Astyanax mexicanus: one gene and its partner. The protein of the gene in region 2 interacts with the protein of the main gene of each other region in a biochemical or structural test. Links are inferred from orthologs where the notes say so. Each region holds a gene or a part of one and is shown on either strand. Other genes may lie near its edges.

Region 1 (10,311 bases), on a different chromosome or scaffold from region 2:
GGCATTTTAACTGCTAATTATTACACATAATAAAGTATTATAACAAAAATTATAAAATCATCAACGAGAGCACATTGAAAACACAGCATTAAACTGAACACACCTGAAACTAGTAAAATGGGGCCTGTATAATAACTTCCTGATTTGAAACAGGTCCTTTGATGATTCAAGTCTACAACTTCATCTGCTTCTCTTAACATCCTGATCTGAAACTCATGCGGAAGTTGTGCTGGTCCAAAGCTAAGCTGCTCAACTAGCTTGCTTAGCAGCTGATAAATCAACCAATTTGACCATCAAAGGCCAGCTTAGACCAGTTCCTAGTAGAAGCTGGTGTTTTACCAAAATTTCCATCAGAGAAGTAACGTAGGTCACAGTGCAGCTATCTGTTCTTCAGCGAATACTCCATGAAACACCACAGAGTTTTCTCTTCTGTTCTGAGTTGCTGAGAAGGATGCTGTTGGTGGACTATTCTTCGTCAAGCATTGACACACATGTTTAAAAACTCCAGCAGCATTGCTGTGTTTGACAGCTCACCAGAACAATACATGCTAGTAACACACCATCAACATATCAGTGTCACTTCAGTGATGAGAAAGACCAACCACCCAAGTAATATCTGCATTCTGTGATGGTCTTGTGATTTTCTCAGGTAAAAATATTTGTTAGGTTTTTGGGAACAAGGAGAGGTCATAATGTTATTCTTGTGTGTTCGCTAAGAATGTATCTTTCAATCCATATTAACCTTTTACAATTAGTCAAACAACCTTCATTAGCTCAGAAAAAAAAAAAATACTGGAAATGCAACAAATTTACCATAAAAATTAAAAGTGGACCTAATGGTTCAAAGTAAACCAAATTCTGCAGATAAACTGTAAATGTAATCCATGCACCGTTTACAGAACCAAATTAGCCTGAGACAAAAACACACACAAATACTCCCTGCAGCACTGAACACACTGACTCACTAAGCATGTGCACACTCGGATTTCCCCCCAGAGCTGCCGACCATGTCAATGAAGCTGCAGGGGATTTCACAGACAACCTCACTGCCCAGGCTTCCTGCTCACTAACAGCACATGAGCTGACTAAGATAAGCAACAAAATAATGTAAAAGACTGTGACCTTCCAAAAATATCGTTGACTCATCCCAATGGTTCACTTTTTAGAGGGTAGAAACTACTGAGATTTTAGTAACAGGTGACTGCAATAAAAAATAGCTCTAACTGACATTTTGCGCTACTGTCAGAGAGAGTGGGAAGATGAACGCTCCAACTTCAACTACCCATAATGTAGTGGCCACCACATCCCAGAGGAAACACCTTAATCAAAGAGTAAGAAAAAACGGACGGTCAGGAGTTTAACTTATAGATGCTGTCAGTTTTGCAGAATAAATACAACCCTAAATCAGAAAGCAAGTATGAGCAGCATGAATAAAATGCAAATAAATAAATGCACATTACATTTATTTCTTTGCAGACAGTTTGAGACCAAATATGTGTTTAGTCTGGTAAACTTGTGTCATAGTTAATATAAATCTACTCCTGAAATTTAAATCTGCAAGTCGTTAAAAAAACGGTTAGGATTGGGGCATTTTAGGGCTGGTAATACAGTCAGGAGGTTTACAAATAATAAGATATTAAACATGACTTTTTGGGAAGAAAGACACCATAAGCTCCAGACCAAAGACAATAAGGACCACTTTTAGAGGTTTCATACATTTGCTAAACACAGCTGACAGACTAAGAAGTGGTGAGAAAAGAGGATTGTAAGAGCTATATTTACCCCCTGACAGGGGGTCTTTGTAACCTGACTTTTAAAACAACATTTTTTATGCTAGCACACTCTATCTCTTTAATATCACCACAGTAGATGACAGAAGGACCTGTGGGTTAAAATATCCTTACTAGAATAGTGTATGAACAAGTCAATACATTGTTCCCTCACAAATAGTTTCCATATTTTTTTTATAAACTGTTCCCACAGTTTACAGGGGATGATTAAGCTGAAGTGAGGAACACAATTTTCAAAACTGAGAACATTTTTAAAACTTTAAACTATATTTTTCAGGCTTTATACTTTTAGGGGATTTGTATAATTGCTAAAACAGCTGATGCACTACTTTAGAAAAAAAAAGCCTATGACAGCTTATTTACAACAGCATCCTTCTAGTGCTAGCACACTGATATCAAAATGACCTAAAAGTTAAAATGTTACACAGACCCAGCAATTAGTGAGGGACACATTTATCAAAAACAGTAAATATTTTAAATCTCTAAAGAATATTTTCCTAGCTTTATATTCCTGAGGGCTCTGTATATTTGCTAAACATAGCTGATACACTACCATTAGATTAGAAAGAAAGGACAGACAAATGAATACCCCTGACAGGGGGCTTGGTAACCTGACTTAGGTTAGGCTAGACTAGTGTATAAATAGGTAAATACATTTTTCCCTCACTTCCAAATTTCAACATATTCTAATCAACACTAGGGCTGCAGCGATTAGTCACTATAATCGACAGTGCTGTTGAAAGAAGCGCAATGGGAGATGGGTAAACAGCTCACTCACACATTTTACACTCAACTTTGTATTTCCAAAAGTGCCCAAACACAACAGATAACATCACTAAATATCAGTACTTTTAATGTTTAAGCAACATTCATATATTTTAATGCCATTTAAATCTAATGTTCTGATGTTTCTATCATTTTTGACTAATCGAAAAAATAATCAATAATCAGATTAGTCAACTACCAAAAAATTCATTAGTTGTAGCCCTAATCAACACTAGGAAATTGGGCTTTAAGTTTTTCAAGCTTTATACTTTTAGGGGCTCTGTACACTTGCTAAACACAGCTGATGCACTAAGAATAGTGTATTTTTTATCAAAACTAGGAAACAATTAAAACTCTAGTTTAATAAGTTTCTAGTTGTATAAACTTAGAAAACACTTATAAAAACATAATTTTACCACAGTAGATGATAAACAGTAGATGACAATACGACATGTGGGTTAGTTTAGACTAGTGTATAATTAGGTCAATACATGGTTCCCCCATAAAAAAAGGTTTCCTTGTTTTTACAAATATTTTGATAGATTTTTCTAGCTTTATACTTTTAGGGGCTCTGTACATTTGCTAAACACAGCTAATACACTAAAAATACATTAGAAGAAAGGACTATGACAGCTGAAACCTCCTGACAGGGGGGCTTTGTAACCTGCTGTTTAGGAGAAGAGCATCCTGCTCCTAGTGCTAACTAGCTAATCTATAGCACACGTTATCCTTCTCACAACATCTCATCATTATAATCACCACCACCACAGACCAGTTAATATATTAGTTAAGTTAACTAATATGTGTTGTAATAAATGTGGTGTATGGGGATGACATCACCTCAAATCAGAGCAACCACGTGAAGTCATCGATGCCTGCTAGCTAATCGTAGCTCTCCGTGGCTCTAGCTTGGCTTCAGCTACCTGTGTATGTTAGTTAACAGTATTAGCTACCTTGCTAAGCTAAGCTAGGTCGGCCCTAAACAACTAACTTAACGCAAGCTAACGTTGACCAGTGGTAGCTAAATCTATATGAGTTTGCGAAATACACTTGTTGCAGGGCTTGAGCGACACCGTAAAGACAGTTTTGAGAATTGAGACATTCATGAAAATTCGCTGTACAGAAGGCAGCAGTCAAAGGCAAGGAACGGCGTTAGCCAACAAACTGAGGCTTTAAATTACTTTTCTGTTTACCTGAAACAGTGGCAGCTCCCCCTGGGATGAAAAACAGCCTTCCCTCGGTGAGGAGTGGTGGTTTCACAGCTTTTACTCCAGTGTTTAGTTCGCTAGCGACATAAAAAGCAGGGAAGGAAAAGAAGGTTCACCGGGGTCGCTGGGTTAGCTGCTAACTAGCGTTAGCTAACGTGAGTTAGCTTAACGTTAGCTGTCTAAACAGCGTTAGCTAGCTAGCTACGACTGTAACAGTCCACCTTAGCGTTCCCTCATCGCGGACCTTCTTCAACCATTACATACTAGCAAACAGTGCACTCAAATAAAACAAAGTAACGCTATAAAACACAGAGGCAGCGTTTATTTCAGTTAAACATGGGACCATTTACTGTATACACCACACCAACCGAACCCGTGGAGGAGCCTCCTTCTTCGATTTGATTGGTGGAGGAGCATCTATCTCCGCTCTGATTGGTGGAGGAGCCTCTAGTTTCGCTATGATTGGTTGTTGTGACCTTCTGCTCTATAGGGCCCGCCTTCTGGGGTTTTCCAGTGGTTTGGTTGACGAGCTTGTGTGTATGAAACCTGCAGCTGCTGCTAACAAGGTTGCCAAGTCCAACAAAATATCCAGCCCAAAATCAGACTAAAACCCGCCCTGCAGAAGCTTAAACTAGCCCAAAATATGTGTCTCACCTTCGAAGCAAATGGCAAATTAACTTAGTTTACCACTATTTTGTTTAGTTTGTTATTTGTTATGAATATTGATATTTTATCTAGTCATTAATATTATTGTTTTATTAGTTATTTCATAACAGTTTATCCCAGTCAAGAACATTAAATATATAAATAGTAAAAATTAGCACAAAAAAACAACTTACTTACTCTTTTCTGTTCTTGCCTCTCCTGAACACAATTCTCTCCTCTTTAACCTTTTGTTTATTGCCTGGTGATTTTTGGTTATATTGCGATTTTTTTTTTAAGTAGACCACAAAAACGCACCCCATCAGCCCTGATTTTTCACCCGCGATTGGATTTTTTTTAAAACATTGGGAAAAACCGCGAACCTGGCAACTCTGGCTGCTAATGTGACCGATCTTAAATGCTTTCCTTTTTTGCAAATCCTAGGTTTGTTTGGTGTGTTTAATTGGTTTCCTTACAAAACATGCTCTAAAATATTAACCTTACACACCTATTATACCTGGTCTGTAAAAAAAAACACCCATCATAAGTGACTTAGTTTAGCTTTTATTCAGTTGTAACTGGGACTAAACATTTAATCACTTACTTTCAGCAGCATTGGGCCACTAACAAACAGAGGCAATTATATCAATCAGCTCAGTTATACAGGTGTCTCCCGCTTTTAGGAGTGGAACATACCATTCCTGAAGTTTGGGGCAGGGGGGTATTAGAGTGTAGCCTTTTGTTTCTGTTTTTGATATGAACATGTATTAATTTATGCTTCAGTGTTTATACTATTTGGGTTTATAGCCTTTAAGTTTATGTTTGATAATTTAGTTAATTGAAGCTACTTCAGTTTCAGGTGATGTGCAGGTGAGATGGATCCCCTATAAACCAATAGTGAGAGTCAGTATAGTATATGGTTATAATTCTCATCCAACCACAATCAAATTCACACATCATCCTGATCGTTTTTTTTTATAAGCCAAAATGAAATAGAAGTAGGTCTGTTTTTAAAATGTAAGAAGTAGATAATACAGATAATTGTATTAAAAAAGTATAGAGAACTAATTTCTACTTAAGGTAACAAATTATTAGTACTTAATTGACATGTCTGCACTCTATACATGTGTGTTATTGGATATCTGCTTTGTCCTAGAATTCACACATTTTTGTATCTCTAATTATGCATTATACATTGCAGGACATTTATTACTAAGTCTTTCATATTAAATGTTATATTCAATGTTATTTTGCTAATTGACCACTTTATTGAAGCACTTGCTATTTGAGATAATTACTTTCAAGCTAAGGTGATGTGTGGCTTAACATAATCTGAAAGCTTTTTATTGTTTTATAGGTGCAGTTAATCAACAACTCCAATGTCTTAGATTGATTACCATTTCTGATGTGGTTGGGAAGTGGCTGCGTTTTGCACCAGAAAGTGAGGGTTGTGTTCCCTATATCAAACATAATTGTTATTTTTAAAAGTCCCTTTATGAACTGATTAAATGTTCATACAGAATGGTTCAGGTGTATCAAATAAAAGGGGTTTTGTTCGGTATAAGAAGCAAGTAGAGTAACTTAATTGAAATAAATATTTTTTTTTTATTTTATGTCTATTTTAAATTCGTAAGTGGGGTGCTACTCTTTTATAAGATGTTCTAATAATAAATAATTATAGCAATAATTTCATGTTGAATCAGTGTTTTATTTTTATTTCGATGTGTTAATTAGAAAAACTAAGTGTAAGAATCATTTCCACAACATTGGGTTTTCTTAGTATGCATTTTTCACCAACTAACAAAAGTAATCCTCTAGGGGTCACTAATAGACGGACCGCGGTCCGGACCCAGACCAATAAACTACTGAGATGAATTTAATTCTGACCGTATTTATTCAAAGCGGAGGAACGTTTATTGTCTTTATGGTTTACCTGCTTTGCTGCGCAGTAAACTCACAGACCAATCACGTGTGGTGTTAGATCACCAAACGCTCTCCTCTGCCAATCAGGTCTGTGCAGACCGATGCCCCAGCTTATGAATTGGGACGCAGCCGGGAAAAAAACGCCTTTATAAAGAGACAGGAAATTAAAGACAGGCCCAGCGCGAAAGAGACAGGGACGAATGTACACAAAATCTGGCCACAGATTTTACTGATATATTTTTTAATCATAGTGTTCAACAAACTCACGGGTTAGATGTTTATATATATATATATATATATATATATATATATATATATATGACCGTGGACTGACGAAATTTACTCTAACTGGACCGTACTGAATTCTAATTAAATACCCCTATTCTGAAGAATAACCAGTAAACATGGCCATGGGCCCATGTGCAGGTCCCATCTAGCCACTTACAGGGTTGTAGGATTTGGAGCAGCAAATGGATATTTAGGTTCTTTTTACACTTTGAAATTCATAAATGTCAATTTACATCCCTGTATCTATGCTAATTAAATCAACTTTTATTTGTTTTTATTTCTAATGGCCCAGAGTCAAACTGTATTGAATGTCCCCTTTTTACTTGTTTAGCTGTCATTTCCTTTTTTAATAAGAGAAATGGAAGACAAACTTCATTAAAACAAGTGGATAAAACATGTAATGAATAGCATTAGCAACAATACCATTAAAATAAATTCAACCAGTACTATAAGTAACATCTCCAGCTAATCCTGCACAACTAAAAAGCCTCTTCCAAGCTGCTGACGCTCAAGGACAGACAACTTGCACCCAGCTGGAACAGACTTGAGCAAGTCCATTGAAAGTGGTGTTTGTTATGAAAGCCCTGAAGGGTAAACGTAAGTGTGCAAAAACGTAAGGGTAAGTGTGCAATTTTGACTAAACGCACCTTTTCCTTGGCATGTGTAACAAACTCTGTAATCACTTATGTAAATTTAGCCATGAAAACTACTACTGAAGGGCACCAGAAGAGAAATGTACAAAAATAATCTGTAAAGTAATCTGTACCCGCACTGACCACATGGCCTAGTTTTCAGTGTTTTGTTAACATAAAAAAACACGTCACAAATGTGAAATGTCACATTAAAAAAAAAATCAATTTGTACAAAACACAATGGCTTGTAAATGTAGTTTGGGGGTTTTGTTTGGCAATCTTTTTTTTATTTTCTTGAAATGAAGGCCCCTTTATTGCATTAATCACAATTCTGTTCAGTATTACTATACAATTCGATGTTAATCAGTAATGCTATAATATACAGCCATTTTTTTAAGTCAGTCATTATCCTTCTAAACAGTTGCACAAGATTCCTAGACCAAATATATTTTAATTGTCTGCAGGACGACGCACGCGCATACACGCACAAAACTGGAGATACTCTGGGTATAACACTACTGCAGTAAAAGTAGAAGTAGAAATAAAAATAAAGTAATAATAAAAAAAAGTACAGTATCCAATTTTATTTACTTTGAAACGGTCCTAGACCATCACATGTACTTGTAAATAAGTTTGTAAAAAAAAAAAAAAAAAAAAAAAAAAAACACCTTTAAAAAAATGCTACTCAATATAGTGGTGGTCTCCTCACTGGTAAGATCACGCTCTTCAACTCCACATCTTTGAAATGAGGATATATTGACTCATTCCTACAATCAAAACAGAAAAAAAATATGATCATTTTAAATTTTAATAGGCTAACATTTGGTTATCAGAGACTCAATCACAGGGAACAGTAAAATGCAGAATTCAGCTAAAGCCTTGTTTACAAATCTTGAGTTACACAAGAATTAACTGGTGTAAACAGAACCCTTAGTGACTTTATAAATTCAGTGATTTCATAAATTCTAAGTTATAAGTCATCCTGCATCAGTAAAAAAACATTTTCTTTATCCGTGACTGGAATTTACTGTATTTGTCTTCATTTGGTCACAAACACTAAACTAAAAGGCAGGAAATGTCCGCGCAGGAGCGCGAGTTTCGACCACAGGGGAGGCTGGCGCCTCGGCTATGGCACCACGGGAAAATCTGCACACTGCATTATCTATCCAACACTAGAACATTAATAATCAGCAGGTTATAAATGTAGATAACTGATGGCGAACAGCCCTGTAACAGATAATGAGCGGAAAATGCTCCTTTCCCTCCCTCAGCGCTCCGCTCTTAAACTGCAACAATTACATTTTCCTCAAAATTCAACTCTATAACGTCTTAATTCCCGTAATATCACGTCATACCATCTTTATTCTCGCAATATAACATTATTTTCATAATATTACACCTTTAAGTTAACTATTTTTTTTTTTTTTTGTATGGCTCTAAAACATCGTCCTAATAAAGGAATATGATAAAGAAACTATTCAGGAATAAACTACCCATTGTTTACTCTCTCCAGGTTGCACTTTTTACAAAGTCCCTGTTAAAACCTCTCCCTTTTTGCAAAGCCTATGTTTGTTGGGTGTGTTAAATATAGTTCCTTACAAAAAAAGGTCTTAAGTATTAAGCTTACACACCTATTTTACCTGCTCTGTTAAAAAAAAAACATGCACAACCCATCAAAAGTAACTTAATTCAGCTTTTATTTATGTCTACATTAACCATTGAACCACTTACTTGCAGCAGCACTGGGACGCTAACAAACAGAACCAACCGTCCCAATCAGCCCAGTTATACAGGTGTCTCCCGCCTTTAGGAGTGGAACATACCATTCCTGAAGTTTGGGACAGGGGGTATTAGAGTGTAGCTTTTTATTTCTGACATGTTTTTGATATGAACATTTATTAATTTATGCTTCAGTGTTCATCATATGCTTTAATGTTTATACTATGTGGGTGTTTAGCCTTTAAATTAATTTATAAGTTTGATTATTTAGTTAATTGAAGCTACTTCAGTTGGATTGGTCTGAAAGGAGGGGCTAAGACTTTATATAGGAGGCGCAGCAAGCGCAGTGAGGGTTGTTGTTTCTTTGTGCTCTTTAATGCTTAAATGCAGCAGTTAAGTAGTTCTAAAGTGTATTATTAATAGCTGAAAGAGCCTTAGTTTAAAATTTTCACGTGTGTCTGCCAGAGATCATCTACAATGTTCTTGTTGGAGTTTCACCTGAAATGCAGGCAAGTAATATATATATATATATATATATATATAAGCTATTGTCTGAAGTCACTCATTATCCTTCTAAACAGCTGCATAAGATTCCAAGACCAAATAGATTTTAATTGTCTGGCAAAATACACAAAATCACACTTTAGTTAAAGTAGAGTTACTCAAGGTAAAACACTACAGCAGTAAAAGTAGAAGTCCTCACTTATGACCACAAAAAAGAATATAACAGTATTTGATTTCAAATGTACTTAAGCATAGACACTCCCACAACTTTACATTGTGTACTAGTTTAAAAAAAGACCTTAAGTAGAGTAACCAATTATAGTTATTTTATAACCTTATAATCGTCCTACACCATTACATGCATTTGTGAACAGGGTGTTTCAGCTCATTAAAAAAAAAAAAAAACAGCCCTGAGAAACTTTTACTCAGTATTCAGTGGCGGTCTCCTCCTCACTGGTAAGGTAATGTCTTCTAAAACTCCACATCTTTGGAATATGATAATTGATACTCATTCCTGCAACCAAAACAGAAAAAAACAATTTTAAATTTGGATAGGCTTACATTTGATCACATAGACATGTAAATTACAGGGAACTGTAAAACGCAGAAAACAGCTTGTGTTAATAAAATAAAACCCTGGTATAAAATAAAACCCTCGGTGATTTCATACATGAACATGAACCAAGTACTCATTATTACTACCCCAGTAAACAGACCCACATTTACCAAGCCCCTGTTAAATGCTCTCCCTGTTTGCAGGGTCTGGGTTTGTTTGGTGTGTGTTTCCTTAAAATAAAATAAAAACTCCAAAGTCTTAACCTTACCATATTTCACAAAAAA
Region 2 (9,968 bases):
TTTAACACAGTGACCCATGTAGGTCTCTCAAAATCACTGTTTTTAACAGACAATATATTGTTCCTGAAACTATTGCAATTAATGATAAATATTTTTTATATAATTTTATGGTCTGGAACTTTCCTAAGCACACACCAGGACGCAAAAGTAGTTTTTACTTACATTGAAAAAGAAATTACACAGTTTCAAATAAGTGTATCTCTTGATTAAACAATGTAAAAGACTACTGCAGCAGTAAAACTGTACTCTGTGTTTGTGTGTGTGTGTGACAAAACAGAGAAAAGGACAACATGCCTGGTTAAATAAACATCTCCGCTGAAATAAATGCAAACAAACACAACAGCAATAACGAGGTCGGAAAAAACTATAGACATCAGCTTCAATAAAATAATTATCATGACAAGCCTAGAACAACAAATATTAAACAAAAAAGAGAATAAAGAACAAATAAAAATGAATAATATAATATAAAATAACTACAAACTAAAATTTGTCTAAATGTCTGAAATTTAAATATATATTAGATGACTGAATGATGGGAGTCCATGTAATCTTCAATCACCAAGGTACCAATTAGCTAATATTGAAAAAGCCTAATTGCCTGCAGCAGATGCTTCTAAATCTACAATGGACTACCACAGGTATTCTTGTTCACTGTGCCTTCATGGCACTCACCTTGGGCATGCCACCTGTTAGCACATGCCGGTGCCAGTTTATCCATGCTTGCTCAGACTAGAAGGATAATCCACCTAGCATGGCAGAACAGATGGAGCAGCTCACTGCAATAAGCATGAAGAGGCCATTCAAACATCACCTCCTACCACACTGTACACAGGTACTTGCTTATACATGCACATTTAAATAAGCTACAGCTAAGCGATATAAATATAAAAACTCATCTTGATATGCTGAAGAAAAACGGTGATATATACAATATGAGCCTCCATCAATACAAGATCTTGGGGAAAAATTAATGCAGCAGATAGAAAGAATAAAAAGAAATGTTGTGACACTGTAGAAGCTTGTGGAAACAATGCCACAGTGAATGCATGACGTAATCAAACCTAAAAGCGTCTAATCAAATATTACAGTGTGATCTTTTTGGCCAGGCAGTGTATAAACTAAAATATTAGGAGGTTCTGTTAGCACCTTTAATATTAAAGCTGTGTTTCCCTTGACAACTAATGTAAAGGAAACATTAGTTTACATATTTGATAGCTCTAAATTCTGCTGTTATTTGTTTTGTAGCACATTGTAATTGAAAATGTAAAATAAATTAATTCCCATATAATGCCCTATATTTAAAGAATATTTACAATATCACCCAGCCCTATTTGTGATATGTTAAACAGAACTGGGTAAAACAACAACTAAAGACTAGTCCAGGAGCATGCAAAAGCTTTTACGACTAGTTTACAATACAGGTAGTGGCAGGCGGTGCTTACTGCAGGGCTTTATTTGGGCTATTCATTGTATACTAACTCTACCTCTTCACAACTTTACAACTGATGCTCTTCAATACATTAAAAGACAAGAAATTCAAGTAATTAACTCTTGATGAGTTCAGCACAGCTGTTAACTCAAAGTCATTGCAGGTGACTTTACTGCAGAAAATCCCAGAATGTGCAAAGTTGTCATCAAAGCAAAGAGGGGCTATTTTGAAGAATATAAAATATAAAACATTCTTTTTTGTTAAACAAATAATTCTATATGTTTTCCTTATAGTCTGAATGACTTGAGCATTCATCTAAAATGCAGAACATTGTAAAATAATAAAAAAAAAAACATTGGCTCTGTATATACCGTAATCCTATATAACCAGTCAGACTAGCTTATAAGATATTTGAATACTATAAAACAGTATAAAAAGGTCACTATTAAACTAAACGAGTGCAGGATGTCTCAATATATAAATACATAATCTGTGGGGCTGCATTATATAGAGATCACACAAAAACACAAAGATCTGATTAGTATCGCTGCTCTTTACCATTTAGAGACTTGAATAATATTGGAGCAAAAATAATCTGATTGGGACATTCCTACTTATGTCCATTTAGTGTCTCTCAATTTCCTTATGCGAATTTCCTGAGAACTCTGACAAAAGTGGGCATGACACTGCAAACTGGCCAAGGCTTCAGAAACAGGAACTGCTCACATCCGCTTCCTCTGGGTTAGTTATCTCAGAGCAGTCTGGCTCATATAAGCACATTTTAGACGAGTTCCTGAGTTTCTGACTGTTTCAGAGATTACAGTCGCTGAGGGCCAAGGAGGGGTAAAAAAAACTCTCTACACTCTTCTACACAACTGTACCAGAAAAGCCCTACTATAAAACCTCTTTATAAACTCCAGACTACAAACTAGCCATTAAAAAATACAAGAGAATTCACTACCTCACTTCAAAACCTAAAACAAATATGAATTACATGCTGGATTACAAAAAGGAGAACTTTTGAAGTCAGTGTTGAATAATCATTCTTGTATTAAAGCAGAAAAACCTGTTGCAATGTATTCAAGTGAAAGCCATGAAATAAAAGGATGTTTCAAGTCTGAGTGCTTTTTTTGGGTTTCTGGAAGAGTCAAACAAAATCCATTTCTATCGTACAGCTTTGTAGTCCTGACAGACCTGGAAGAGTAAATGCTAGAACTGGCTTTCGTCAGACACATATGGTGACCCAGGGTTTACAGAGGGAAAGGAGAGCAAGGAGAAATCAATACTGATCCAGGATAAACAACACACCAAGGGGATTACATCAACTCTGCAGAACTGTCTAAAGCACTGACGGGAGACCCGCTTTCTAACACTCTCTCAAGATCATGCAGATTGTAGATTTAGAACCCAAACAATTCCTAAAAAAAAGATGATGACAAAACTTCAGTGATATAATAAAATATTAAGACGTAGCATGTCACCCTGATCAGAAATAACGTGATTCCAACAAAGAAAATAAAGAAATCCAAAAAGATGGAAGAAATATCAACAGAACAGCAGTCAAATTTGTCTACTTTAAATCTTTTGCTAATAATAATCATCAACATTACTATCTAGATATAAAAAATGTTAGTTATAAATAAAAAAAATTACAAAAAGCATGCAACAGTACAAAAAGCACTCAGGGTTCAGTGTGAATAAAGCACAAAGAGGAAAAATCAATAAAACAACAAACACTAACCCATGTTTCATTTTATAAAATTTAATTCCGTACTAGAGGGCACTAGTGTATTAAAGTGTAGGGCAGGGGGGACAAACAAAACTACAGTTATGATAGTAATATTCTTCAATTACTACAGTTTTCACAAAAATGTGCAAATCCAATGGTTCACAACTTAATATTCGGATTCACTGCTGATCTGGATTGAGACAACCTCCTTTGGTTGGACATAGGCCCGTCATGATAATTATACCATTAAATTATTCTGATAATCAGTCCTAGAGAGCAAAATTGGCCGTGCTCTCTCCCTAAGGTGATGTCTGTCAGCACAAGGCGTCTCTGAGCTGATGATTTCTTGTGCTATTACATTATCAATATGCCAGTGGCAATTAATGGTCTTTTTATATCGTTTATATCAAATTATATCGTTCATCACAATCAATTTAAAAAATATCTTATTGTGAATTTTTTATTTTTTATTTTATTTTGACGAGTTTTGGACCGATACAGATACTGAGTATCAGATCAGCTCACCCCTAATTACTCTTCATCCCTAATTTTATATTATATAACACAATATAATAAACACCCTTAGCACAATGTGAGTTCAATCCTTGTGACTTCAGTCACGCTCATTAATCACTAACTAATCCCTAAATAAATGATTAAACAACAGCTAATTGATACCTGATATATACAGTATAATAATGTAATTAAGCACCTAACATTAAGCATAGCTCTCTGGATGATTTCTCACTGAATATGACTCAATGCCATGCACTATTTCATCACAATGTCCAGCTGTTGCTTCAGTACTACTTTACTTTACTATATTAACAACTGCAGTAATCTCTACAACAATATTACTATACAAAAAGGTAATTACATCACTTACAACCCATGAACTTCAGGCCACTTCTGAGCATCTTTACTGCTGTATGATCCAGTCAGACATTTAACTGTCTGTTCTCCTTTGTGATCCACTCACTCTCTCAGCAGTTCCTCAGTGAACACCGACTCTCCAAATCTGCCAAACTGTTTCAGCTGTACAGAACTGTTTGTTTTTAGATGAACTTTGCTCTTAGTTCGAGAACTCCACGTTTTACGCTTTTTGACTAAAATGTTGCATGGCAGCCATGCAAACAGGACAAATAGAACTTTCAAAAACAGTCCCACAAAAGCTACAGGTGTGTTTTTAAATAAAACATCACGCTAACAAACTGAAATATGGAATATTGATATAAATATTAATAATAGTAATAAGGGTAAATAAGCCAATGAATCTTCTATAAATAAATCATATATAAACAGTATAGTTAAATAAAAAGTATTTTTTCAGTATGAAACTTCTTCTGCTTGCCTTAATTAGTGTAATCAACATATCTAACATATTTGCAACCACCCTGCAAAAACAAAAATTTGTGGTGCAGCCTAAGCTTTATTTAAGCTCCCCTTACATTACTTTTAATTTAATCCTTTAAGTAGTTTTGAAACCAGTACTTTTACACTTTTACTTTGAGTAAAAAGCTTGAGTTGATTCTTTTACAGAAGTATTTAAACCCTAGTATCTACCTGAGTAATAAATAGGGAGACTTTGCACACCTTTGTTTAAAATCCACAAATAAATAAAAGGCTGGAACAAGAAGATCTGTATAATTATCCAAACGTGTTTAAAAAAAAAAAAAAAAAAAACAAGAGCCATACAACTGCAGGTAATACTCACAGTTCATCTTCAGATTTCCAAGCTGTTGTGCTAGTTTATTACTGCTGACTGGACTCAATATACTAGAAAAATGTTTTCTAAAGTCTAGCCTTGCTGGTTTTCCTCACACTTTTGCTTGACTTCAGACCCTGATGCTATTTGAGATGAGAACTGAAGCTGCAGACGGTGGAATTAACATCCTGTCTACAAAGCTGGTTGGGCATTGAAAGTAAAAAAAGAAAGTTGAAACTGAAAGCCAAATTAGAGACAAGTGATTTCTTGAAAGAAGCAAATAATTCCCAGACAGATTTCTTTCTTTATTTCTATTACAAACACCTTTACTAGAATTTACTTGACAACTGAAAATATTCACTAAAAACAATAATAAAACATTTTTTAGTTTTCATCTGAAGGAGTAAAACAAAACAATTGACTAATTTATTTTTTTATTTTTTTAAAAGAAATTTTATTAAAACACTTTCCCCTTAACTGATATGTATTCAATAAATAGTGCATTCATGGAATATAAAAAAAGCTAGCAGTATATAAACAAAAGACAACAAGACAAAATTGTTCACTGTATACAAATAAAAACTGATATTACAGGCAATATTACAAACTAATCAGTTTATCAACAGAGTATTACTAGGGCTGTCACATTAACATGTTAAGTTCAATTAATTGATTACATGACAAAGAACGTGTTTAAAAAATATCGCTGATTAATTTATTAGGACTTTAAACTTTTAGGATACTTATAGTATGTATTTTTTATGTATATTGCTGTCCTTAACAAAAAATAGAAGAAATTTATATTTTTAGAATGACTTTCTATATAACTATTTTTAGCATGATTTTCAAATATTTTTTTATTTGTACTTCCTACTGGTGAGGACAGCTAAACATTTACATGGTACATTTTGATAGTTTGATGTACCTATATTAAACTAAAAATTGCAAAGTATGTTACAGGAAACGTTAACACAGGCTGGATTTCCTTTTACTTTTTTTTTTTTTTTTAAATGATTGTTTGTCTAAGACAATATTTATATATTTTTATTAAAGTCTGTAGTTACATCATATAACTTAATTTGGAGTGGACAGAGTACAGTATCTCTTAGCCAGCAATTGTTATTTTAACTAATGTTAATATTATTAATAATCCTGTTTAAACTCTCCTCAGCAGCTCTCTGCAGTAATTTATGTCTCCACGGGTAATATAGAAATCAGTGTTTAAACTGTACAGAACTAGTAAAGACAGACTAAGAAGCATCATGGAGTAATATGTGCGTTTGTGTACAATTGACACAGCGCTGCTATTACACTGTATGCACGTCTTTCTCTCCCGATCTCTTACGCGCTGCAATTCCCACCCACACTACAACTTCATTGGCGTACTAAGCAGGAGTGCTCACTCTCTCACGGCCAATCAGGATGCTCACTCTCTCACTAAGTGTGTGTCTTCCTCTCTCTTGCACCATCACACATTAACGATGCTTCAACAATGAAATTCTGTGTCAACAAATATTTATAGTTGACATTGTTGATTATGGCGACTAATTGCTGTAGCCCTAATTCACACACACATGCAAATTAACAATCCTACATCATCACAACACACAGATACCATTATTACATTTTTCTGAGAATTTTAGAGTATGTACCAAATGTACCTGATCTCTATGTTTTAGACTGTGAGAGGAAACCGGAGTTCACAGGGGAAACCCACACGTACATGGGGAGAACAAGGAAAAGCCACCAAGCTGTGTTAAATGTTGTCATACCTTTTTTTAAGGTCTATTGTTCACATTCTTCAGCTGTTTTTCAGCTAATGAACTCTGACTCCTTCATATATTGTGTAGTTTTTTGTGGGACAAAGTAAAGCCAATACTAGCCAAAGTCTGACATTTTATACTACACTTATTCCTATATTAAAGACCAGTCATGCAAAAAACTATAAATAATTAATAATAATCAAAATACCGTTATATACCATTAAACTGTCAGAAATACAGTGATTTTCAATTTTGGCTATACCGCCCGGCACTAGTGACCTGTACATGGATTTTAGACTGCAATTTTAGCAACCTGTTTATCATTTACGTTTCTTATACAAAAAATTCAGTCAGACTGAAATCTGATTGCTGTGTAAAATAAAATACACAATTTTAAACATGCAAATACTGGTGTTTTAGTGGCCAAACACATCTTGACTCTCTCCCAGACCATTTAACTAACAGATTAAACAGTGTGAAGCTGCTGATGGTGTACGCTCACAGCCTCTAATCCCTGAAGTACTATTGTGAGTGGAGGTAGTTTCCACTCAGGAACTACTGTTCATACCTGTCAAGTTTTAGATTTAAAAATAAGGGATATTTTACTCTGTCCGCTTAAAGCCGTCCCACCAGCCCAACGAAGGTAAGGTATCCCTTACGTTTTAAGATAGGTTTACAAAAAAATCTAAAATAACGACATGTGAACCACTTATACACTACAAATAGATGATCAGAATCTGAAATGTTGTGGACATTCCTGCATATGTCATTCTTTTAATACAGCCAAATTAAAAACCCGTTTCTATATATTTTTTAAAAAGTTAAGATTTCATGTCTTTTTGGTATAAATGCACTCTTTTATATGATATATTTTTTATTTATTTAATGGATTTAAAATTGAACAAAGGGTGCACAAATTCTGCAAAATGAATCTTTTGATCACTCCACCCCTGATCAGTTTAGTTAATTTCGGTCCTCGCCACATTTCTAGTTAAACTGAGTCACAAGCTGTAATTTTTTTATTTTAAAATGTTTAATCTGTGTGTTTTATTTCGGAGACGAGTATTTTTAAGCAGCTATCAGAAAAATCTCATCACAGTTTACATGATTAGCCTACCGTTACCTTTCTTTTAGAAAAATCGCTGCATATCCAGATATTTTTTAACGTCAGCTGATCCGACTAGCTGCCTGAACTCACAGCGACGGGGGGCTTCCCCACCCTCCTTTGCAAGCTGATTGGCTGTTTCTCCTGAAAGGCGTGACTTTCTCCTTGAACCGCCTCCACGATTGGTTAAGAGACACAGAGCGGTCAGTGCCCTGTCTCCTCAATAATATATATATTTTTAATTGTAATATAATACGGGAAATTTACGGGAAAATACTAATACGGGAGGACGGCGAGAAAGAGGAGTAAAATACGGTAGTTTCCCGGCCAAAACGGGAGACTTCACAGGTATGCTACTGTTATTCAATTTGTTCATTAGATGATATTGCATCTTTTATAAATATCAGTAAACTGCTCTGCTCTGCTGATGTGGTTCACTTATACACTTGTGCTTCCTCTGTAATGTCATTTAGTTGTACTTCCTTCTTTATAAATTTGCTATTTTCAAAGCTTTTTACAGCTATTTTCAAAGCTTTTTACAGCTATTTTCAAAGCTTTTTTGTGTGTATATATATATATATATACACACACACACACTTTTATTATTGTTATTATTTCTATTTTATAATTATTGTCCTGACCTACTGCTATGCTAAAAGAGCATTGTTCTATAGGTCAGATAAGGACTGCAGGACTTCACAGTCCAACATCATCCCATTTACGGATAATGAGGACTTATCTTCTCATCATATTCATAATAAGATCCACCGTACACATGGCTGTGGCGAGAAAACTACAATGAGTCTTCTCTCAGACAAATTAACTTCCTCTTATGAGTTATATGGTCGAGTAGACATATAAAATAGAGAAAAATAGAGACACAGGGAATTTGTACAGGACTGTCTATCAGGATCCCATTATACTACCAGCATTTCAAGATAAAAATCTGTTATCTCTGATTAGAGCTGCAACCATTAGTTGATAATGTTGATTCAAAAAAATTGCCTCTAAACTTAAGTGGCCCAACCTGTACTTCTTTTTTTTATTCACAAAAAGTTTTTATTTTAGAATAAAATTCACAATATGAGAATATATTAGAAAGAAAGAAATAACATTGTTATAAGAAATAACAAGAAATAATCGCTGACTAATTGAAAAATCAAACAAATAACTGATAGATTAGTCAAATTATTCTAAAATAATCAGTAGTTGCAGCCCTATTTTTGATAAACTGTAAGTGTAAGCTCAACAGCCACAAAACAGTTACAGCAACACAACAACACAAGCTACAGTTTACAGACACTACTACATTACTACCATAACTGGCTGGATTACCTCTATGCGTGCGATTGTGTGTGTGCAGCACACAGAGCAGCAGTTGAGGAAAAACACAGCGTGGTCTTCAGGCCTTCAGCCCTGCAAGCCCATCCCCTCACATACACAGGCCTCAACAAAAGCTGCAAAAATATATATAATGCAGTAAAAACAAATAAGAAAGAAAATACAAAGAAAAAAATCAGATCCCAGCGTTCACTCGTCAGCGTTTTTGAACGAAGGCCCAGCTAGAGCCCAGGCACGGGGCAGGGTGGCGTGTCCGTCTCCACGGACAGTGCTGACGCGCCAATCGCAGCATTCGGGAGCAGGCGCTGTATGCTGCTGGAGGATGCAGCCAGCGTTTAGACCTTTGTGTGCCTTATCAGCAGGGATTAGCCAGGAGGGGACGGGGAAACTGGCTGCAGAGCTCGCAGGTGACAGCTCGTGAATGTCCGAGCAGTGTTCACAGAGGTCTATTTACGGTGCTGGCAAACCCCTGTCTTACACACACACATACACACACACACACACGTATATTGACACCAATATAAACATGTAAACAACTGCATGCTATATTTAACAACTGTCTACATTTGAGGTAAGCAACCCTTCAATCTGCACATTAGCATGTTATTATTAGGGCTGTAGTTAAGAGGAATCACATTTTTTAACTTCAAATTTGAGTAATTTGATTTCGAGTATCTGCCAATACAGTGTCCCGATCCAATACCGATAAAAAAGGTTGTCCCTTTTAATTCATTTTAAATTATTATTAAAACAACATATATAATTAAGATCATGATTCTATTTTTAAATGCTGGTATGTCACTATATATTTAGGAGGGAGACAGTAATAATAGTGAAATGTAGTATATTAGACCTGGCAACCTAGACTTAAAATGGACTTTTTACTGCATTAT

Evidence for each region.
Region 1: of the proteins of mib2 (region 2) and cylda, one has a biochemical effect on the other in vitro, tested with the Homo sapiens proteins (2 studies listed by BioGRID, with this or other methods). The link is inferred for Astyanax mexicanus from reciprocal best matches to the Homo sapiens genes MIB2 and CYLD.

Annotation. Positions count from the first base shown.
Region 1 is NC_064430.1:11,827,227-11,837,537, forward strand, and holds the start of cylda (ubiquitin carboxyl-terminal hydrolase CYLD), read right to left. Parts: upstream 4,131-10,311; 5' UTR 3,749-4,130; intron 1-3,748. UniProt on the Homo sapiens protein: Deubiquitinase that specifically cleaves 'Lys-63'- and linear 'Met-1'-linked polyubiquitin chains and is involved in NF-kappa-B activation and TNF-alpha-induced necroptosis.
Region 2 is NC_064419.1:12,571,390-12,581,357, reverse strand, and holds the start of mib2 (E3 ubiquitin-protein ligase MIB2), read right to left. Parts: upstream 4,175-9,968; 5' UTR 4,079-4,174; coding exon 4,048-4,078; intron 1-4,047. UniProt on the Homo sapiens protein: E3 ubiquitin-protein ligase that mediates ubiquitination of Delta receptors, which act as ligands of Notch proteins.